Linked DNA regions of Rattus norvegicus. The main gene of each other region encodes a partner of the protein of the gene in region 2 in a complex. Links are inferred from orthologs where the notes say so. Each region holds a gene or a part of one and is shown on either strand. Other genes may lie near its edges.

Region 1 (3,687 bases), on a different chromosome or scaffold from region 2:
GTGAGGACCTGAGTTCATAAAACCACAGGCAGCAAATATCTGGTAATCCCCCTGCTCCCATAACAAACCGGGAGGCATAGATGAGAATTCCCAGCAGTTACCAGCCAGCTAGCCTGGCATGAACACAGCAAACAACAGAGATCCTGTATCAAACAAAGAGGAAGACAAAGATCAATGCCTGATGCTGTCCAATGGTCTCCACACATGTGACCACAATCACATACTAGAAAAAAAATCCCTATTAATGAAATATAAGTTTTAAACTTTAAAATACAATAAACATAATGAGAAATTGTAACTGGAAACAAGTAAGTCAAAGTATTAAGTCCCCAAGGCTGGAAAGATGGCTGCCTTGTTAAGAGTACTGGCTGCTGTTGCAGGAGGGCTGAGTTCAGTCAGTTCCCAACCTTAGATGGTGGTTCACAACTATCCATGGCTCCAATTTGAAGGACTGCAACGCCCTCTTCAAACCTCCATGGGCATTGCATGTGTGTGGTGCAAAGAAATAACACGCAGTCAAAGCACCCCTACACATAAAAGTTTATAAAGCCCTACATTCCAATTAAAGGAGCAAGTAAGTTGAACATCTTAGAAGGTGGTGAAAGCCTAAAATGATTTAGCTTGGATGAAATCAATTTTAAGAAGACTGAAACGGGATGTTCCAACTCAAAAAGTAGCTAAAATAAATAAATAAAATGAGCAATCTCTAGACAGAAAGTCAATTTAACCAATCTTCAATTAGTCTCTATGTTCTATATCTAAACAATACCTAGAGATCAATTCTTTTTCAAATTTACCTACTTCTGTGTGTGTTTGTGTGTGTGCACATGTAAACACACACATGTGGCGGTTAACCAACAACCCGCAGACTCAGACCTCCTATTCCACCATGGGAACGGATGAAACTAAAGTCACCAGATTGGCAGCAGCACCTCTACCCAGAGCTACCTCACCAGTCCAAGAACTCATCCTAATTAATAGGAAAATAATAAAAGACAAACCTAAATGGTCACAAAACACATACAAAAGATTCCTCCTTCCCATGAAACAAGACGCAAAATAAAGCCCGGGTGACTTTTTTTCTAGCTATCACACTAGAAATGGACCAAAACCAAATGCTAGTAAGGAAAAATTTTAAAAATTAAGATCCATCTATGATCACATGGAGTGTTGTGAAGAGAATAATAGCCAAGACCAACAACACATTTAAAGACATGTCAAATCCTGTAGTCCAAAAACCTCATTCCTGGTAAATATCCTCCAGACCAAACTGCACATGGCAAAGGAGAAGTGTATCAATATTCACCTTAGCACATACTGGGGATCAGCCCAAATGTACCCTGATGAGAGAATGGACTAATTGTAGTAAATCTGCACAAAGGATAAACAGCAGAGAAATGTAAATTCCATTGTTCCATTAAACATGAACCATCGCAGAGAGAGTACACAGTGTTAATCGTATGTACACTTGAGAAACAAGCAAAACCCGAAGGCAGCAACCAGAGAATCCAATAATGTCGATGGGAATTATCTCACATACAAAAATACATAAAATAAAAAGGTGGAGGGGTTTTTTAAAGTTATTTTACCCAATTCGTGAAGTTGAGGCCTCTGGGCTGGGTATTAGAGCAATGGTCGAAAGGATGGTTTCAATGGTCGATACTCTTCACTCCAAATCTTCAAGCCCCATTCCTATAGGCCTTACTTCACCCCGACCCTCTCAAAGTTCTATAAAATGTGAGCCTACCTCCTCCTCTGAAGGTTTAGAAGCAACAAAATGTGTTGTTCTCTCTCTTCTCATCTTGCCACCTCCACCACCTACTCCAGAAGATAAACCATTGGCTGCAGGAATACTGAAATTGGGGTATGAAAAGCCACTAGCAAACAAAAAAAAGAAAATTAGAACAATTTCAATATTTTGTTGCAGAAACTGTTAAATATTCAAACACCAGATCAGCTAACAAAACAATTAGGGTATAGCCAAATATACTTTGAAATTTCTTCTGCATTTATTTATGTATTCATACATTCATGGGCATGTAAGCACACATGATCTTAGTATGGGCAGCTTGTGAAGGTTAGTGGGAAAGCTCTTGGCAGTCAGGTCTCTCCTTCCACTACGTGGGACTAAACACAGGTTTCAGGTTTGGTAGAGTACCCTGACCTGCTGAGCATCTCGCTCACCACCTAAGTATACGTTTCAATTTTCTTTATCTTCAAGGCTATTGTAAATATGAACCCTACAAATATAAAGAAATCCATTTGCAGTATATGATGACATTACCTTTCTTGCTCTCTATTTTGTCTTGAGATATTTTTTTCATCTACAGTCTGAAAGAAAAAAATAGTATGAGGATTTTATTTAAAAAATGACAATTATTTGGGGAGTGGGGTAATAATGAGGAGTGCCTCGAACTCCGTATACAGCTCAGACTGAACTTGAGATCTAGTTCCCGCTGCCTCCACCCATCAAGTGCAGAGATCACAGGTGAGCATTTCTGGCTTAGTTTTTTTTTTCAGTGCTGTGATTAACTCAGCCTTATCAAATGCAAGGCAAGTACTTCCACCACTGAAAGCTACATCCATAGATTCAAACTCTCTTAACATCCTTTTACTTATAAATTTTATTATTTGAAATTAAAAATTTGATTTTCTAATGGCCTTGGTATATGTAATTTAGACATTGTGTTTGAATGCTAACCAAAGGTCACAACTGCACTGTGCACTGTAATATGAGCATATATACAAAATGTCACACATCTACTAGTCCAAAGGTCACACTGACTTTTAGGGGACAACTTTCCTTTTTGCTGTACTAAATGATAGACAACTTTACAAGGACAGAATCTGAGATATAAAGTACTCCCAACTCATCAGAACTATCAGAGAACCAGAAATGTACAAGATTCGGAATTACCTTGCAATATAAAAAAATAAGATACCCAAAACTGATGGGGCATAATAAAAGGACACAGAATCCATTCAAAGGCAAATACAGGGGAAGATAAGCATCAAAGAAGCAACTCTAAAATTAAGGATTCAGTTAAACACAGAAAATTCTCTACAGCAAAGGGCCAATCAATAGATGGAAAAAGAACAATAGAACTAAAAGTCTACCACAGTGCAATCAAAAACAGCTTGAGGCAAAAATTCTCAATAATGCTAATGGGATCAAAAATAGACAGGAGAGGGCTGGAGAGATGGCTCAGTGGTTAAGAGCACTGACAGCTCTTCCAGAGGTCCTCAGTTCAATTCCCAGCAACCAGGGTGGTTCACAATCATCTGTAATGGGATCTAATGCCCTCTTCTGGTGTGCCTGAAGACAGTGACAGTGTACTTATTATATACATAAAATAAAAAATAAATCTTTAAAAAAAAAAAAAAACAGGATAAGTTCCACTTGAGCCCTAAGATGAGCTCAACCCTCCTTCAGTGGATAACCAGGAATAACCAGAATCTAGACCCACCCAGGACAATCTCTTAGCGCTGTGCATTCTATACAGTAACTAACTCGTCTTTTCAAAAATATTCTAGATTAATGAAGACAAAGACAGATGACAACTACATGTCACGGTCTTGATGATGTCTGTCAGTATTTAACATCTAAATAAAATTTATAGTTTTGTGCAGCACCAAGATTCTCTTCTTGGGTTTGAACTCTATTATCTACTACAGAGAATCCTAATT
Region 2 (3,687 bases):
GCAGGAATCCGTATTCCATAGACTCGGCAACCTGATGATTTTCCAGTTCATGAGAGCCATGCAGTTGTTCTCCACTATTTGCAAGAGTCCAGTTGGGACCCCAGCCAACCCGAAATGAACGTCCCATGAATAAGGCCATGTCCATCAAGAGTTTTCCCTTGCCATATGTAATGGATTTTTCAAGAGGGACTAGGCCTGGTTGCCTGCGTATCCCCACTGTTTTTAGGGGAACTTCAGGGGCTGGGCTGGGCACTGTGAACACAGTGGCCAGGGGTAGAGGGACAGACCAGGGGGATGTGGATGGGACGTTCATTAGAGATGATGTTCTGGGTGTGCGACATTCTTGCACGGAGGCACTTGGTGAAAGAAAAGTTCCACTTGCAAATTTTGATTGGAGCAACCCACCAACTGAAACAAGGAGGAAAAGACACTTAACAACCCAGTTTGCTTCTTCGCTAAAGATGAAAATTTTCAGACAGATTTTTATAATAATCACTTTTCTTTGAAGACAAGTAGCCTAAGTCCTATGAAGACCAGGCTAGCCTCAAGATTATTCCTCCTGAGTGCTAGGATCAAAGGTGTGCACTAGTTGTTTTTCCAGATAAGATTATTCTGTATAACCTGGCTGTCTTGGGACTCACCATGTAGACCAGGTGGGCCTTGAACTCTGCCTCCTGAGTGCAGGATTAAAAGTGTGTGCCACAATATTTATATAAAAATTTTAAATTATGTATATGTTTGTGGGTATGTCAACAGGACTGTAGCTGCCTGTGGATGCCAGGTGTCCCACGTTCTGGAAGCTGGAGTTACAGGTGGGTGTAAGCTGCCTGATGTGGGTGCTAGGAACCAAACTTGTGCTTTCTCTAAGAGCAGTATAAGCTCCCTACCACTCAGCCATCTCTTCAGTCCACAATAATCACCTTTTCAGCTACGAAATCAAAGCAAGGACTTTAATGATTTTATAAAGGAGAAACAAAAACAAGAATCTTCAAGGATTAACAACAATATTAAAGACAATTATGTGTACACTTCACTTTTCAGTAACATTGATCGGGAAGTGTTATTGCTGCTCACATTAAAACTGAGGAAACTGGGCTTAAAAAGGGGGCCTTTCTAAGTCCATGGCACTATCAAGTGACGAGACTGGGTAAAACTGTTCCTAAGGGTCATATCCTTACTGAAATCCTATATGCAATAAAACTATCTTTAAAATGATGGATGCAACTGGAGACAGCAATTTACAGAGAACTAGATCAGTTCCAAAAATACAAATATTGCATGTTTTCTCTAATTTATGGGTCTTAGATATTGCACTTTCCTGATATTATTTATGTACTAATGACATGAAAGTAGAAGAAAACTTGTATGGGGACCAAGAAAAAGGAAAGGGTAAAGTAAGTAGCTATAGGGGATGGAGACTGAGCTAAAAGGACATTGTAACGGCTAGAGAGAAGGCAGCCCATCAGTTAAAAGCACTTCTTACTCTTGCAGAGGACCTGAATTTGATACCCAGTGCACACATGGTGGCTCACAACTTTACTTTCAAGAAATTTGACACTTTCTGACTTTTATAGGCACTGCATGTACCTGCCTTACATACTTGCATGCAGAGAAAAAAAATCAATACACAGATAAATCTAAAAATTTTGAGGATATTATATTTGCACAAATATAGCCTTATATATAAGTAAAATACAAAAACAGCTGGGGGTGGTGGCACATGTCTTTAATCTCAGCATTCTGGAGGAAGAGGCAGGCAGTGAGTCTGGGGTCAGGCTACACAGAGACCCTGTTTTGAAAACCCAACCACAAAAACCCCAAAATAAACAAAAACCCGAACAAAATAAAACCACAAAACTCAGATAGATTAAAACTGAAGTCCTGGGCTGGAGAGGTGGCTCAGCGGTTAAGAGCACTGACTGCTCTTCCAGAGGTCCTGAGTTCAAATCCCAGCAACCACATGGTGGCTCACAACCATCTGTAATGGGATCTGATGCCCTCTTCTGGTGTGTCTGAGGACAACTACAATGTACTTATATATAATAAATGAATAAAATCTTAAAAACAAACAAACAAACAAAAACAAACAACCCCCCCCCAAAAAAAAACCCCGAAGTCCTGACATTATGAACTTAAGGAGAGGTAAGAGGACAACTTTAGGGAGGTGGTTCACTCTCTTTACAAGGTGGGTCCTAAGAATCAAACTTGTATCTTTACCTGCTCAGCCTTCTTGCTGTTCCTTATTTACCTTTTCAGAAAACATTAACAAAATTTAGTTCTTCAGCTTTCAAAGTATTTTGAATTACAATTGCCTACTCACTGATATCAATACTCCACAACCTTTTTTTTTTGACATTTTTCAAGAAAAAAAAAAAAAGTTTTTCTGCCTGCATGCCCGTGCACCATGTGTATGTAGTATGTGAGGAGGCCAGAAGAGGGCACTGTGTATCATGGACTGGAGTCACAGATGGTGTTGAGAACCCAGACTCACTGGAGAGCAGTCAATACTCCTAACTGCTGAGCCATCATCTCTCCAGCCAGTACTCTATAAAGTATAATCTGCAATCCTAGTAAGAAAAGGGAAAGTTTTAAAATTTAATATGTGATTACCCCACAGGGGTTTTCAAAGGTTTAGGGAAAAGTAGATACTTGAAGTTTACTATCAAAAAAAGCAGTAAGATAATGTAAGGACTAAATAAAAGGAACATGGTCAACTTGTGGAATCTAAGTATTGTGGTAGAGTTTAGATTAGAGCTTACTATGTAATCCACACTCACAAGTGACTAAAACAGGGCTCTCACTCAATGAGACAACTTTAGGGAGGTGGTTTACAAGTGGTTTCCCAATAAAGAGGTACTTATGATGCTTAAAACCCTGCCATGTCAGCACTTTTACCTTTTCTGTTTTAAAATGTGTGTGCATGTGTGCATACATGGAAGTCAGTGGACAACTTCAGGAAGTAATTTCTCTCCTTCCACCATGTGGGTTCTAGAGATCATCAGTTCATCAGGCTTGATGGCAAGTACTTTTTATCAGCTAAGCTAATTCACTGACCCCACCCCCCTTTTTTAAGAAATTATTTAGTATGTATGCCTGAGTGCTTAAGTGTATGTATATGTATATACACCATGTGTGTGCCTGGTGGCCAGGAGGCCATAAGAGGGTGTCAGATCTCTTGAAAATGGAGAAGAGAGGGTTATTAGCTACCATATGGTTTCTGAGAACTAAACTGGAGTCTTCTGCAAGAACAAGTATTCTCAGCTGTTGAGCCAAGCTCCTTGGGTCCTGCTATGCTGTTCTGGGTAACCTCAAATTCACAGCAATCTCCCTGCCATAGATGGTAGGAAGAGGATAGTATGTATTTAAAAAAAAATTATGCCTATTGTTATAGTTTTCAGAGGTTCTGCTAAAGAAATCCATTCAGCTTAGAAGGAGAAATATGAAAAGCAGAATCGAGCTGACAGTGTCCTTGGAACCAGCACATTTTATACTGTACCTATGGAGCGGGATTTTGAGGAGTGGGAGGCTGAAATGGGGAGTCTAGGGGAGCAGATCTCCTGAGCAGTGTCTCCTCTGGAAGGGAAGTGACCGAAGCGCTGCTCCATGGCATCTACGTCTTCTTCATCCACAAGCAAGGATGCTTTCATGATCTACAAATCAAAGACCGTAAAAGAAAAATGCAGTGTA
Region 3 (3,687 bases), on a different chromosome or scaffold from region 2:
CTGTAATCAAAGGGGATGGTGTGCTGTGGTCGCATCAATGCCAACTAAGACCTAAATACTCACGGAGCTGAGCACTCTGCCCGGAGGACTTTAAAAGCAGCTTTAGCTCAAACAGCACCAGGGCCACATGGACAGCATGGCAGCGCAGCCGCTCCATGCGGAAGAGAAAGGCAATGGCAGCTTCAAACTGTGCAGTCAGGAACAGCACTTGGAAGTAGAGGAAGGGCTGCTGGTTCACCGTGAAGTGGGACTCGCCTGCGGAGAGAAGGCAAAACCTACTCAGAGGGAAGCCGCCTCCAGCGTCTGACCCACCCTGGGTATCTACTGGCCTTGCTGGGTGAGAGAGAGCAGCAACATGAGCCTAAGGGACCCTGCACACTAAACTACATGAAGCCAGGCATGGTGGCCCAGACCTCTAACACTTTTAGTCACAGCTACAGAAAGACAGAGACAGGCGCATCTCTGTGGATTCAAGGCCATTTCTGACGTACAAACTGAGATCCACAACTGCCAGAGAAAAACACTGGCTTAAAATAAACAAAGCAACACGACCCAGTCCCTCTACTTCTCTGGGCCTCATTCATGGTTGGCAAGCGGGGTTCTGTTACAAAAATCTAAGCTGCTTGCATTAGAGAGGAGAGAAACAGAGATGTTGAAGCGACAGAGGCAGAAACTGCCAAGCTGAGGTACAGTTGGAGTCACCGAACCCTGCACTGAGGGCAAAGGGAGAGCTACTCCTCTCTGTAATCGAATGTGACTAGCAAGATCTACGAGGGAGCAACTGAGACCCCATTCACATCTCTCCCAAGCAAGAACTAGGATCATGTTTATGGTCTATGACTGTGGAAGCCGCACGTTTCTCTTTTCTTTTGGCCAAAGATCAAACTCAAGGTCTCTGGAATGTGAGGCAAATACTTCGGTCCTGAGCTACAGCCCCAGACCCTTTTATTCTTATTCTGAGACCAAAAAAATGTCAAACTCACTCTGTAGCCTAGGCTGGCCTTGAACTCAGGATATTCCTGCCTCAGTCTCCCAAGTATCCAAGTGATGTATATGTCTCAATGCATAACAGTCTGTGCCTGATTGAAAATGGTAAGCCCCAAAAGAAGATGGCAATCGTCCAGGGTCTTACCATAGTCCTCTAGCAGCTGCTTCTGGAACTGTGAGAGAGTGAGCCTGTCTTGTGGCGAGCTGGTGCCGTCATCATCGAAACACACCTGGTTCAGCTAAAGCCCCAAAGGAAACAAACACACTGGTACAAACTACATCCTCACCACATCAGAGCTGCCTGCCCAGAGGCTGGCTCTGTGCTGTGATCTGGAGGCTGCACAGCACACTGTGGTTCTGGGTTGGCTTGTGTGTTAGTAGAGCATGACTGAGACCCTAGATGCCATCCCGAGCAATACAAAAGGGGAAGGGAAGTGGGGGAAGAGGAGGGAAGGAAAGAAGGAAAAGAAAGCTAACTGTAGTTATTAGCTGGAAATCACACAATAAAAAAATAGGGCCAACTAGACACAAAACCCACTGGCCCTGTCTTGAGCCCCACACAAACGTCATGCACTATGAGGGCAGAGTATAGAGAACTTGGGCAGCCACAGGACACTGTGCCTACTTTTAACCACAGGTAGTCCTCGGTCTTGTCTGCTACTTCGCTCTGGTTGTCGGTGATGTCGCATCTCCCAATGATACAGTACACAGCTCGCTTGTAGGGGTCTGTGTTGTTCCTGAGGGCTCTGCGGTAGTGAAGCCGGAGTTTGTTCTCAGTAGCTGGAGACAATCTGAAGACACAGAGAGACACAGACTCAGCGAAGACTCAAAGGTGGAGTGCAAGCATGCCCAGAACACTCTGGAAGCTCTCCTTCATCCTTCATCCTGAGCGCAGGGCCTGCCTGCCTCATCCACCACGTTCACCGCCGTCTAACTACTAGCACCACATGCTTTGGCCCATCAGTCTTCTCAAGTCCTGAGACCTCCTTGGGAAGATGGGGAATGCTACGGGTCAGTATTCTACCCTACTCAGCATTCCTCCAGCAGTGACAGAGCAGTCCTTCCCTAATCGTCTTACAGTTTGTTTATCTGAATGCACATATGTGTGCAGTAGAGGATAGAGGCAGAGGTGCTGTTTTTCTGATATAGTATGTCTACTGGTCTGGAGCTTGCCAATTAGGTTAGGCTGACTTGCCAGAGTCCCAGAAATCCTTCTTTCTTCATCTCATCATGCGGAGATCACAAGCTAGTGCTACCATGCCTAACAAGGTTCTGGAATTGAACTCAGGTTTGCACAGCAAGCACTTTTACCCACTGAGATTGCTCTCCAACCTCCTCTCCTCCTTCAACTGTCATAAGCCCTTGGGTCCCCACCTTCCCTTATTCACATGGGATCACCTCCCAAATAATGGACTTGCACCCAAATCTTTGGCTCAGGATCTCCTTCTGAGTTGGGTGCTAATGCTGCCTCCACTCCAGTGGTGATCAAACACAGGGCTCCGTGCATGCTGGACAAGCAGAGGCTCTACTTCTGAGCTAATCTTTAGCCCTAACCCTACTTTAATCTATATGAGCGAATCTGAGACAACCTCTTCAAGTGGCAGTATTACCCCTTGAATATTTGCTTTCCCAGGACCCACTGGAGTGAGCATCACATTTCCTCTATAAGTGCATACATACAACTGGGCTTGGTGAGTCCAATTACATAAGCGCAATCCCAACTCTGCTTAGCAGGCCCTTAGTTCAGGAAAGCTTCTCAGGGCCGTGGTAAACATCCCAATGCTAACTTCACACGGACTAAATTCTAGCTCTAACTTGAAGCATAAAGCACACACATCCACACGGACTGAACAAACCAATGTCTAACACAAAAAGTCTCATTCTATTTCAGTTATTATTTTAGTGGTTTTGGAGACAAGGTGTTAAAATGTAGTCTAGGCTACCTTTGAACTCACAAACTGATGTGTCAGACTCCTGACTGCCGGGATTACAGACACACACCAACACTTTTGGCCAAAACGTTGTATTTTACAAAGCAATCAATCTGAGCCGAGAGGGTGTTCCACACAGTGCTCCACTGACAGGAAACTCACTAAATGCAGTCTACGACTGCAGCAAAGCAGGGCACTCACTGTACCTTCTATCCTTGCTGTTCATGTATTCCTGGAACCAGGTTTTAAATTCCCCCAGCTGGTGCTGGGCTCGACTGACGACTTGTGATGCAGCAAGCAGGTCTCCACAGCGCATGCAGTAATAAATTAACGCCCAGACCGGATGGCCTTCTACCTCTCCATCCTAAAAGACAAAACACACAGTCAAATAAGAGCTAACCAACCCCTTTCTGATGTGTGGACACCCAGCTAAGGCATTTAATTCCCACCATAACCCCATGAGTTAAGAGCCACCGATTGTATCCTACTCCCTGTGTTTTGCAAACACACTAAGTTGTCCAGGGGAAACTGGGAGTGGCAATGTAGCATGGATCTGGAGTCACTGAAATGTGAACAGAGCTTACCTGTGTGTTCTCTCTTAGCCAGCAATGATGGGATCTCCTTCCTCTTCTTTTTTTTTTTTTTTTTTTGGTTCTTTTTTTCGGAGCTGGGGACCGAACCCAGGGCCTTGCGCTTCCTAGGCAAGCGCTCTACCACTGAGCTAAATCCCCAACCCCGGGATCTCCTTCTTTATTTTGACAAAATATAG
Region 4 (4,487 bases), on a different chromosome or scaffold from region 2:
TCCAGGGACATCATTATTCTTCACTGTTCGATTTCGGCTTCTAGCATCCATGACTCAGGGGAATGCTTCTCTACATCTCTGTTTTCAAAACCATGATAACAGACTGAGCCTTAACAAGTCTTTTCTGGCTCTGATCACAGGTGGGTAAAAGTCCTGTACTCGTCAGAATTAGACATTGTGATTAGACTCTGTTCCCTCTCATGACCCATTTTAACATTATATCTCAAGGTGTGGATTCTAATTTGACTCGTAGACATCTTTTCCCCTATTAGGTACCATATTTATGGTTTCAGGATACCAAGATGTAGCCTTAGCTATTATTCTACCTATCATACCACTATGATCTATGTACAGCCTCCAGAACAGTCACTTATGAATCACTGGTAATTGTACAATGTTTAACTTAACTTCATATCTGTGCACTAAATAGTTAACATTAAATATTTAAGAAATAAAAGTACTTAATTTTATATTTTAGGCAGAGTCTCACTACTAGTCCTGGCTGGCCTGGAATTCACAATGTAAAGAACTCAGAGATCCGATTGTATGTCTATTGGGTGCTGGGATTAAAAGTATGTAGCACCACGCCCAGCAAGTTCTTCATTTCTCTACTTTGGTTTTGGGAATGCTACCATTTAGCTATTACTTTTTAGTTCTATCCCAACTCTCTAGTCAAATTTCTATCTACACTCCAGGCTTAACTCATACACAGCCAATTACCCAGTGTCCTTCCTTCACATACAAATTTAGATATAGTATTTCCCTTTTCTAACACCTAGCCCCAGTTTATTGTATTTATGCCTATAAGAACTGCTTGGTTAGCTCAGGAGTTTCCAAGTTTTCCACAATAAGACTTCGTTTTACGCATCAAGTATTTATGGAACACCTAAGTTCCAGATATTTCATTTGGTACAAATATTCGTGTAAACGGAATTGTGGCCTTGAGGACAGTCGGTCTAGCAGCTTGGTGATCGAAGTAAGCTTCAAGAGGCTTGGTGGGGAGTGGAGATAGAATGCACACACAAGGTTTACAGCACTAGAAAGTGAAGAGCAGAAGCAAACAAATACATTGCAAGTCGCACAGAAGAAAAGGATGGTTTAGGTAGTCTCACTGTACATGACCTAACAAAACAACAAAATGAAAAGACTAATCCAGTCTGCCTTAAAATCACTTGGGAAAGCTGTACGGGGAAGAATGCTTAGCTTGGTCGTTACTGAACTAAGATTGGAGAACATCACCTTTAGATTTAAGTTTCTCGGGTGTACCAGCCACCCAGAATTGTACATCTTTTTGTAGACCTGGTTCCTCAATCACTGCTCCGTCTGAGCAGGCTGCTTGTGCCGTGCCTTCTTCCCCTTCCTTCGGTCGACGCTGTGCACGCGTGCTCGGAACTCCAGCACCATGTCACCCGTAGAGCCTAGCCTTGCCTGCCTGAACCCCGCGTGGTGACTTAACAGGCGCGCAAAGGATTCAGGAAAGCATCTGGCCAATCCAAGGGGTCAGACAGACAGCAGGGCGAAATGTGTACTTGACTGACATGAATGCTGACCAATGGAAACAGAAGACAATCGACGCTTCCGCCCCAATGGGCCGGCTGTTGGCAATTTCGGCCAATCGCACCCAGAAACTTCTGTCAGGTGGGTGGTCCCCGAGGCCGTGGAGGTTGGTGGCTGTTGAGCGGTTCTCGTGGTAAAGTCCTTGAGCGGAACACCTCTGTCGGAAGAGAAAATGAGTTTAGCTCTGAGGTCGGTAACGAGGAGGCCGCGCCTCCGTTCCCCAGAGGGGCCAGGGAGGGCGTGGAAGGGAGGCCGAGTCGGGAGCGGACGAGGAGTGCCGAGCATCAGACCTCGGCGGTCCCCGCCTCCCACAGCGCCGCTCCCCGAGTGAAGTCTCGCGAGGTTTCCCTCACGCATCTGCGGGTTTCGGGCCTGGCCGCCTGCTTCCTCCGGAAAGTCACAGGAGAGCTCGCCTTTCTGCCCGGGTCCCGTGGCACGCTGTGCTTTGGGCGTCCTGGGTGGATCTCGTTTCCGTGACACCCTCCAGTCACTTCCGGACATCCCCCCTCCCCATTGGCTCCTCACCCTGTCCATCTACACTTAAAGGCGCCCCCGGACCGCGCATTAGCCTGGGGTGGGTGTGTGGCGAGTGTGTGTGTGTGTGTGTGTGTGTGTGTGTCCGCGCATTAGCCTGGGGTGGGTGTGTGGCGAGTGTGTGTGTGTGTGTGTGTGTGTGTGTGACCGCGCATTAGCCTGGGGTGGGTGTGTGGCGAGTGTGTGTGTGTGTGTGTGTGTCCGCGCATTAGCCTGGGGTGGGTGTGTGGCGAGTGTGTGTGTGTGTGTGTGTGTCCGCGCATTAGCCTGGGGTGGGTGTGTGGCGAGTGTGTGTGTGTGTGTGTGTGTGTGTGTGTGTGACCGCGCATTAGCCTGGGGGTGTGTGTGTGTGTGTGTGTGTGTGTGTGAGCTGGGGTCACGTGAGAAAGATTCCTGGCTGCCACCGTCACCCGCTCAGCACTGATCTCCCACGTCTGGTCCACCCGGAGGGCGTTCCTGACGAGACGCTGTTACAGTCAGCCGAGTTTTAAGATTTTGAGGTTTTAAAGCTTCCATCTTTTAAAACGTGCTGATACACGTGTTGTGTCGTATCCTCGTTTAAACATTTGGACTGCTTTTTGCATTGGCAGCTCTTAAGGCAGACATTTTCAGATCCAAGTGCCCTTTTTAGATTTCCTTTAAACTTCAGAGTTTTTAAATGAAGACGTCTAACCTATCGTTTACATGTTAAGTGAGAGTTAAAACACTTTTAAACATCACGTCGTGGACTTAAGCACGAGTATTAGATGCTGCGATTCTGGGCGCCTAGTATTTGCATGTTTAGGCCCTTTAATAGTTTGCCTGGCTAATATCAGTGGAATAAAACCACAAAGCACTGTTAGAAATGTATAATCTAAAAACATTTTGGACTTAGAATGCTAAAGTAATCTTTTAAGTTTTATGGATGATTTTTGTAGTAATTGTGAGTTGGTTGTCATTTGTGAATTTCACTTTTGTATGTTTTTTTTTTTTGGTTATTTTTATGTTCTTGGTAGATGACAGGAATAATATGTATGATGCTTTCAACTTTGATTAGGATTTCGGTTATAAAAGTACATTTGGACTACAGGACGTTAACTTAGGCTCAGTTTCTTTATGTGCCAGACTACTCTGTTGAAATTTAGAAAATGATTCTTTGTCCTAAGTTGGGTTAAAGTAGACTAAAGGCATTTTTCTGTGTCCTAGAGGTGAGCTTGTAGTAGACAAAACAAAAAGGAAAAAACGAAGAGAACTCTCTGAAGAACAGAAGCAAGAAATTAAAGATGCTTTTGAACTGTTTGATACCGACAAAGACCAAGCCATAGATTATCATGAATTAAAGGTAACAGGGTATTTAAGATCCATTTTTGTTTAACTCAATTGCGTTTGTGCCTGTTGCTTTAAAGTCTACTTTAGAAGCTTGTTTCAGAACTGTGAGGCTGTTTGTAGTGCCCACCCACAGGTGCTACAAGAAAACGGAGTAAAAATGGAGTATGGCTTCTAGAACCTTGTATTTAAGTGTAAGAGTGCATCTTGATGGGAAGTCTAACTTTTCCATTCACCCAGTAAAGGGACAGTTCTTAGCATGTTCTTCCTACAGTTGTTTTCTTCTGTGTGATGATATAGCTCAGATTTTTAACAAAACAAAATTTTTTGGCATATGCATGTGCCCCTGCTGGCCTGTACATCCCCTTGTGTATCATGTGGTGGGCAGAATAGGGCCTGTGTATCTTCCATCACTCTACTCCACTGCCTTGAGACAGGCTATTTCCCTGAGTTGGAAGTTCAGCACTTGAGAGTGAACTCTGGGGATCGCTGCTGTCTCCACAACTATGCCTGTCTTTACATGAGTGATGGGGATTTGAACTCTGGTCCTCAAGATTTTAGGGCGAGAACTCTTACTGACAGTTTTGAAATGGAGAGATCATTGACTTTGCTCAGACATTTGAGATTGACTTTTAATTTTTAAGATAATACTAGCACACTCTTAGAGTACACTCTTCTCTGTTACAAAGGATATAAATTGTCTGATGCCTAATGTTGCTACGTGCAGAAGGAAAATGTCCTACCCAAGGCTTTAATTACTAGTAAAGAGGGAAGGGGAAATTGGTTATGAACACATTTCTCACGTTCAGCCTAGTAAGAAGGATCACATTTTGATCTCTTTAAGTACCCTTAAAAGTTCATTTAGTAGTTTTAACATTATAGGGGTAGAATCTATGTAGCGAGATGATAGACTATTTAAAAGTAATAATAGACTTTGAAGCTTTGGCCTCAGTCTTGAGGTCCTCCTTTAGCTCATTCCCTAACCCACTGTTCTCTTGCTGCTGCTCCCCTCCTCCACATAGCATGAGTTCTTCCTGTCCAGTGTCTTAGCTATTCGTTGTCATTGACCATCACAGATGGGGACTTTGTCT
Region 5 (3,687 bases), on a different chromosome or scaffold from region 2:
CCCTCAGTGCCAGTGCCCAGGCAAGTCTAACAGTGGCCTGCAGCCCAGGTAGCTTCCAAGGCTGGGAGTCCTGGAGGCGAGAGTGAATTGTGGCAATGTACTGTCTCTCTGTCAACAGGGGAAGGTGGTGAATCATATCTGAAAACACAAAACTAGACCACGTCAGCAAAAAACAGCAGAAATAAATTCTTACTTCTGTCATACATGGATATCTAAAAGTCAAAGACATAGCATTTTCAAAAAGAATAATGACTAATCAACATTATTATTGACATAGCAGAAATCTGTATTACTGTTAAGTATTAAATGCACAAAAACTGAAAAGACAACCAAAAATTTTAGTTAACAACTTTCAATAAGTTTCATAGACAGCAGAAATTAGAAAAAAGAAGCACTCACTGTTTTTTTCTATATAGGGATTCTAAATTATAAATAAATGCTCTCTTATGATAAAATAAATCATCTCCCCACATACAAAAATACTATGTCAAAAAGAAAATAGAAATTCAGTGTTTTCCCAAGTTTTTAAAATGTGAATTAAGGGGGTTGGGGATTTAGCTCAGTGGTAGAGCACTTGCCTAGCAAGCGCAAGGCCCTGGGTTCGGTCCCCAGCTCCAAAAAAAAAAAAAAAAAGTGAATTAAAGTAGCTACAGTAAAGTCAGGCATGTGCACTCATGAACACACTGCTGTCTATCCTGTAAAACCGTCATTTCAAATCTCATAAGAAACTAACTGCACAGGAACAAAGTCGAGCATGGTAGTGCTCACCTTTAACCCCATCATTTGGGAGGGCAGAGGCAGGCAGATCTCTGCGTGTTCAAGGCTAGCCTGATCAACATAGTAAGTTCTAGGACAGCTAGAGCTAAACAGAGAAACTGTTTCAAAAAAATCAAACAAAAAACAAAAACAAAAACCCACCAAGGCTAATTTCCTGTCATTTCTATTAGGAAGCAAACTCAAGACCTCAAGTATGGTAAGCAATTCTCTATTACTGAGTTTTGACCTCAGTCTTAAATTAAATCACACATTTAAAATGTTTCAACTTGCCTGAATTACACAGACAGAAAAAAAAAAAAAAAAAAGAAAAAAATTTGTATTTTGGAAGTTAAAATATCGTCCTTCTTGAATGTTCCCTCGCAATTTAAAATTTTATATTTAAAAATAAAAGTATTGGTGGTTGTGTTAGCACATGTTGGGTATGTTAGCATATGCCTATAATCCCAGCACTCAGAAGACTAGAATAGGAAGCTCAAGAGTTTGAGGCCAAACCAGCAAAATGGCTCAGTGGGTAACAGTGCTTGCTATCAAACCTGGCAACCTAAGTTTACCTCCTGAAGTCATATAGTAGAAGGAGGCAATTGATCCCGAAAGTTGTCTTTTGGTGTGTGTGACACACACACACAGGCACACACACGCACGCACAAATAAATAAATGTAACTAAAAAAAATTAGTCCGAGGCCAACTTAAACCACACAGTGAGACTCTAAGAAAAAAAAGCATTAAAAATATATATGTTGAAGCTGGAGAGACGGCTCAGCAGTTAAAAACACTGGCTGCTCTTCCAGAGGTCCTGGGTTCAATTCCCAGCATTTACATGGCAGCTCTCATCCATCTACAATGCCAGTTCCAGGGGGTGTGACACCTTCACACAGACATACACACAAGCAAAACACAAATGTGCATAAAATAAATATAAGTAAATAATTTTTAAAAAGATATAAATGTAAAACTCAATACCATCTCGTTCCTCTGTGCTTTGTTCTATAAAGCTGGTATCAAAACAGTACAGAAGAGCCATGAGGAGAGCCAGATTTACTGCATCCAGGGAGCCGTTGGCCTCGACTGTCACTCTTTCTAAATGTCCAATAAGCAGGAGGGTGTCATCTTTAGCTAACGGTGACTGGCAAGCCCAAGCAAAAAGACTTTCAGCCAGAGACTGCCTGCACTCCTTGATGAGATCAGAAACCTACAAGTAACAACACAATTGTGACATAAGTTATAGCAAAGTCTGGCATTACAAAATATAGAGTGTCTTCCATAAAGTCTAACAAAATTAACTATCTGAATCCACAGGTGCTCCTAAAATTGCTGAAATTCTGAACAAATTCTAGGGTTTAGTCCTTAAGAAACCATGCTGACCAATTGCTTGAACAACTCATTCCAGAAAGAACTAGATACATAAACAGGCACGGCAACTGGAACAAATGCAAGCTAGTCCCATGAGCAGAACAGTGTACACTTTCCACAGGGGTGGCTGCTCATGCTTTGCATTCTAGAGGCAGTGGATCTCTAAGTTGGAGGCTAGCCTGGTCTAGATAGCAAGTTCTGGACCAGTCTACTACTACACAGTGAGGCCCCACCTCCAAAAACAAGTTACAATGATGATGAAACACAGTGTTTTCATCCGCCTAAGTGAAATGAATATTCTGTTACGACTTCAGTTCCACATTTGACAAAGACACCCATGAGTTCATCTTATAGAAGCCTTGCCTCTTTGCGGTGTTTCTCACTGCCCAAACCTCTGTCTCTCTGTAGTTTCTCAAATTCATTATTCACATCAATCTGTGACACCAAAGTAAGGACTTTGTAAGTCAATCCTTGTTCCATCAGCTCATCTGTAAAGCGTGTTGTCATGGAAACCAGCTCTGGACTGCAAGGAAAAGAAATAAACAAAGCTACAGTGAATAAAAATACTGTTTTGACAACAGCCAACAACAGCCTATTACTGCAAACAACAAGGATGAATTATAATCTTGTGCTTTTTACCCTTTCTAAATCACTGGAGTTAAATAAACCTTTGTGATTTTTCACTTGCAAATAAGTCATGTTTAAACTAATGTACAACTCTGGAAAGAGCATTCTAGTATATTACTGACATGAGATCACAGTTTACTATATACACTAAGAATTATTTCCAAAATTCAAATTCAAGTAATTTTACTTTAACCCTGTAAGTCCCCGAAGGCAAACAGACCTGAGTTCTAATGTCCATGTCTTCCCTCGTCTAGACTGTATTAGGGTTTTGAGAGAGTTTGCAATGCACCGCTTTCCATCCCAGTATAAAAGGACAGCTACCAATCCTCTGGTGAGGCCAGGGAAATGTGGTTGCTGATGTTCTCCTAGAAAAGGAATTGATTGTTTAATAATAAAGCTCAAATGTGTTCAAAGAGTATGCCAAAATTCATTCAAATCTGCAGGTCTCAACATAAAGGGGACCCTGAGGATCTCTACTCCCTGTATCATTCCTGGCATAGCAGACTCAAAAGGCCGACCAACCATACACCAGGATCAACCCCATTAATAAGACAAGAAGCCCAGTCACACTGTGGTAGCACAAGCCTTTAATCCCAGCACTCAGGAAGCAGTGGCAGGTGGATCTCTGAGTTCAGAGCCAGCTTGGTCTACAGAGTGAGTTCCAGGGCAGGGCAGGGCAGGGTTACACATAGAAACACTGTCTCAACTAAACAAATAAAGAATAAGGGATTCATCACTTTCCCAACTGGATTTCACTTATCTGATTTGCTAGTCGGGCCCACTCTATCTCCACTGGTATGAACTCTTGCAAATGTCTGCAAGTTCCCTCCTTTCAGGGTCATTCTCTTCTACTCTGCACTGCCTCCAGTCAAAACCATTCCATGTCTCTCTTAAATCACCACACTGTGCTCCTTTACACTAAATGAGGCTTC
Region 6 (3,687 bases), on a different chromosome or scaffold from region 2:
AAAAAAAGCAAAAAACTGAACAGAGGTTGGGCATGGTGGTACATGCCTTTAATCCCAGAACTCAGGAGGTAGAGGATCTCTCTCAAGTTCAAGGCCAGCCTCCTGGTCTAGAGTAAATTCCAGGCCTGTTAGGACTACATAGTGAGACCATGTCTGGAAAAAGAAAAGTAAATAGATAATTGCTTTTATGAGTACATGCTGACTTTAGTGTCTCCTATTCAGATATAATTACTGTTTTCATGTCTGAATTCTAAAGCACAAAGGCCCATGTTAGTAACACACAAGTATATTAAGGAAATTTCAACATACCTGAGAGGACCCTGACTTTGGCACTGGAGGATTTACCCTAGGAGATTTCTGCCCTGTGGAGGGTGCTGAACTCGGGGCAGTCTGGGCGGAGCGGCCAACTAGAGTAAAGGAGCAATGACATCAGTCAGTTACAGCAGACACCAGTTCCTGTTACTTTTGTCACCACAAACATCTTTCCGCAAATCTAAGAAAGGGAGTTATACCCTGTCCCTGGCTTTACTTTTACCACCCGTATTAAAGGAGGATGATCAAATTGGGCCTGGTGATGTCCACAATCCCAGTACTCAGGAGGCTTAAGTTCACGGTCTCTTTATGCTACTGCTCGTAACTCCAGTTCCAGGGGACCAGACAAGTAACTGCACTCACATGCACAAACATACACATAAGAAAAGAAATATAGCAAATGTCCAAACTCAAAACAGTTCTACAGTCAGACTGAATAAAAGCACGCATGAGAATATCAGGCACCTGGTGTAGCTGCCCCAAATCTTTAACCTGAATCCTATCATGTGGAAACAATCCAATCCCAATAGGGATGGTCCCCAAACCACTGAGCTGGTTTTCTCGTCTACACTAATGAGATGAACAGAAAAAGAAAGGGGGGAAAATCCCAGCTGTGAGACCACTGGAGAAATATGACATGGACTCTAAATTTGAAGGTTGTTAATTTCTTGAGTGTAATGGCCTTGGCTTTTAGGAGACGGGAACCCTTGATCTAGAGATCAAGTGTTTCACAATGTCTGCAACTAACTCTTAAAATATTTTCAAATTTTTACATAAAAGGAAGAAAGAGATAAGCAAAGATGTAAACTTTTAGGATGCAGTGAACCTTGATGACAAGCACAGTATTTATATTTTTGCAACTAAGTTGGACATGTGACAGGAAGGGAAAGGCTGGGCTGATGTCTCGGGAGCCTTAAATCCTGTCTCTAACCATTCCCATTTCATCACATGTTCAGAGTGGCTGATGGGAAAATGTAATCCAGAGCCTCTGGAGCAGTAAGCACATGGGTCCCAAGGACGGCTCCTATCCTCCATGCTTAAGGGCAGCTCAGTAACTGGCTGTGTGTGAGGGCCAGCGCCTAGGCACAAGACACTTTCTTTGAATTTCCATGAGCCCCAAATAAAGGCTAGCAGAACTGAAACCACTGTGAATCTCCAAGTCAGAGCACCACAATCACAGCACATTAAAACAGTCAAGCACACAAACACACTCCCCATCCCACAAAATAAAAAACTTAGCCAGGTAGTGACGGTGGTGGACCCCACCATTTATCCACTAGAAGGCAAAGGCAGGCAGATCTCTGAGCTCCAGGACAGCCTGGCCTACAGAGTGAGTTCTAGGACAGATAGGGCTACACTGAGAAAGCCTGTCTCAAAAAACAAAAACCAAACAAAAAACCCTTGCCTCAGTACATTAGCAAGGACTCTTAACCTGCTGAACCCATCATCTGAAAGGGTGTTCGTGTGTGCTGAGGACAGAAGCTGTTGGCTTTAGAGATTACCTGACGGAGAGGGAGAGACTGAAGGTTTCAAAGGCATGGAGCTGGGTGATGCTGGGAGAGGCGTGGGATGGCTGAGTGGTCCAGAAGCTGGTGGCTTGGGGGAGGAAGAGAACGGCAACACGGAGGGTATGCTTGTGGAGCTATGAACGGGTGCAGAGGAGGCCACAGCGGTGAACCTAGAAGCGGAAATGCGGCTGTCACAACACTCTGCTGGAGGGTTCCTTCCCACTGGGCCTGAGCAGTGAGAGCCAAGAAAATCTGACTGGCCGTCTCCTCTACTTTCAGAGCAGCACTCATGCTGCTTACTCATGGGAGGGCACAATCACATCTACTCACCACCTACAGCACAGCCAAAGCACTTAGTGTAGGAGGATCTACTTTCTACCCTGTCACATGGGTTTGCGTGTGTGTTTTGTTTTAAGGGGGTGGCGCAACAAAGCATGAGCCCTTGTTCTGAGAATTATCGTTTCAGGGCAGGGAGTCGCTGTCTCTGGGATATCATGGTCTAGAAAGACTGTCAAGTCACCTCCACCAAAGCAAGGTCTGCAGACAAGCTCCGGTGAAAAATGGACAGCCCAACAAAATGGAATACCAAAAGTGGCTAGTGTGAAGTAGCCACGTGTGGATGTAATCTGAGCAATGACAGTGTGCCTATAGGACGACATCCTGGCAATGAGGCCCCAAAACATGGTTTTGACACTTGCTCCAACTGGAAAAGGCTGCACGATACAGGGGAACATTCCCTCTAGATGCTCAGTGTGGTGGGGAGAACAGAAAAAAAGATCAAGAGGTAAATAAATAAGGGATGAGCAGGGTGACTGGAACTAATGTGGAGGAAACCAGATACCACGCTAAAAGGTTTGAATTGTAAAGAAACGTAACAAGAAACCTTTGGGGACCATCAAGCAGGAGCGTCACCTCAAGTATCCCTAACTATTCAAGTCACCTTGGTGGCTGCACAGAACCAGCTGAGTGTCAAGAGTAGCTGAGGAGGAAAAAGCTACAAAAGACCCATTTCCTTCCCTGGATGAATGCTCTGGGCTGTTGCCCTTTGTAAAATAAGGAAGACTGCTATCTTTATAGTCTAAGAAAGGGACATAACTACTTTGTGCACTGTACTTGAGTGACGCTAGCTCAGTGACCACCATGCACTATGAGGCCCAGTCTACCGAGGAGTCAGTCTTTCAAGGTGACTTACTTCTCGTTCAGGTTGACTTTCACCGAAGAAGTTGAGGGTGGGAATGAAGGCTTCATCCCTGTGTTTGGGGCACTGGACATAGGTGTGCTTTCCAAGGGGGGCTTAAAACCTGATGATCCGAAAGTGAAGGGAGCAGCAGATGTGGGCACAGGAGCCACTGCAGGGGTCGGGGCCAAGGTGCCTTTGGAAGGAGGCGCAAAAGAGAAGGTGGGGGTGCCAGAGGCTGGTGCTGCTCTGGAACTGTCAGAGCCAGTGGGGTATGGCGGGGGCTCCCCGGGGATGGAGGAGGACTTGAAGGGTGAAGGGCCAAAGGAGAACACAGAAGGGCCTCCTCCAGCAGACGGCAAAGGGAAGGTGGCGGTGGGAGCAGCAGACACCGGTGGAAGAGGCGAAGAGGCTGTTGCTGGAGCGTCAAGGTTCTGTGGAGCTTGAGGGGAAGGTGGTGTACTAGGAAAACTTCCTGTAACAAGAACCAAGGAGAAACAAAAGGACACGCTTAAACTGTATCCCTGGGGCTCCACAGGATAGAAAGTAAAGGAGGGAGGGCTGAGGGCAGTGAGGCTGGAAATAGTGCCTGTTGAGGAAACAGAGTGGGACTGAGTAGGCAGGGTTTCATAAGATAACATACGTGAAACTCTCAAGACAGACATATGAGGAAAGAGAGAAAGGCACCAG

What was found.
Region 1: Nup98 (region 2) and Nup153 share a complex: the UniProt entries of both Homo sapiens proteins name them as parts of the nuclear pore complex. The link is inferred for Rattus norvegicus from reciprocal best matches to the Homo sapiens genes NUP98 and NUP153.
Region 3: Nup98 (region 2) and Nup93 share a complex: the UniProt entries of both Homo sapiens proteins name them as parts of the nuclear pore complex. The link is inferred for Rattus norvegicus from reciprocal best matches to the Homo sapiens genes NUP98 and NUP93.
Region 4: Nup98 (region 2) and Cetn3 share a complex: the UniProt entries of both Homo sapiens proteins name them as parts of the nuclear pore complex. The link is inferred for Rattus norvegicus from reciprocal best matches to the Homo sapiens genes NUP98 and CETN3.
Region 5: Nup98 (region 2) and Nup205 share a complex: the UniProt entries of both Homo sapiens proteins name them as parts of the nuclear pore complex. The link is inferred for Rattus norvegicus from reciprocal best matches to the Homo sapiens genes NUP98 and NUP205.
Region 6: Nup98 (region 2) and Nup214 share a complex: the UniProt entries of both Homo sapiens proteins name them as parts of the nuclear pore complex. The link is inferred for Rattus norvegicus from reciprocal best matches to the Homo sapiens genes NUP98 and NUP214.

The regions. Positions count from the first base shown.
Region 1 is NC_086035.1:18,205,897-18,209,583, reverse strand, and holds part of Nup153 (nuclear pore complex protein Nup153), read right to left. Parts: intron 2,332-3,687; coding exon 2,285-2,331; intron 1,878-2,284; coding exon 1,748-1,877; intron 1-1,747. UniProt on the Homo sapiens protein: Component of the nuclear pore complex (NPC), a complex required for the trafficking across the nuclear envelope. Functions as a scaffolding element in the nuclear phase of the NPC essential for normal nucleocytoplasmic transport of proteins and mRNAs.
Region 2 is NC_086019.1:165,930,284-165,933,970, forward strand, and holds part of Nup98 (nuclear pore complex protein Nup98-Nup96 proprotein), read right to left. Parts: intron 3,651-3,687; coding exon 3,497-3,650; intron 409-3,496; coding exon 1-408. UniProt on the Homo sapiens protein: Plays a role in the nuclear pore complex (NPC) assembly and/or maintenance. NUP98 and NUP96 are involved in the bidirectional transport across the NPC. May anchor NUP153 and TPR to the NPC.
Region 3 is NC_086037.1:10,699,882-10,703,568, forward strand, and holds part of Nup93 (nuclear pore complex protein Nup93), read right to left. Parts: intron 3,283-3,687; coding exon 3,125-3,282; intron 1,779-3,124; coding exon 1,613-1,778; intron 1,227-1,612; coding exon 1,133-1,226; intron 256-1,132; coding exon 64-255; intron 1-63. UniProt on the Homo sapiens protein: Plays a role in the nuclear pore complex (NPC) assembly and/or maintenance. May anchor nucleoporins, but not NUP153 and TPR, to the NPC. During renal development, regulates podocyte migration and proliferation through SMAD4 signaling.
Region 4 is NC_086020.1:13,823,450-13,827,936, forward strand, and holds the start of Cetn3 (centrin-3), read left to right. Parts: upstream 1-1,641; 5' UTR 1,642-1,729; coding exon 1,730-1,746; intron 1,747-3,276; coding exon 3,277-3,412; intron 3,413-4,487. UniProt on the Homo sapiens protein: Plays a fundamental role in microtubule-organizing center structure and function. As a component of the TREX-2 complex, involved in the export of mRNAs to the cytoplasm through the nuclear pores.
Region 5 is NC_086022.1:64,831,986-64,835,672, reverse strand, and holds part of Nup205 (nuclear pore complex protein Nup205), read right to left. Parts: intron 3,121-3,687; coding exon 2,976-3,120; intron 2,652-2,975; coding exon 2,492-2,651; intron 1,968-2,491; coding exon 1,739-1,967; intron 139-1,738; coding exon 1-138. UniProt on the Homo sapiens protein: Plays a role in the nuclear pore complex (NPC) assembly and/or maintenance. May anchor NUP62 and other nucleoporins, but not NUP153 and TPR, to the NPC.
Region 6 is NC_086021.1:35,673,283-35,676,969, reverse strand, and holds part of Nup214 (nuclear pore complex protein Nup214), read right to left. Parts: intron 3,473-3,687; coding exon 3,013-3,472; intron 1,991-3,012; coding exon 1,815-1,990; intron 408-1,814; coding exon 310-407; intron 1-309. UniProt on the Homo sapiens protein: Part of the nuclear pore complex. Has a critical role in nucleocytoplasmic transport.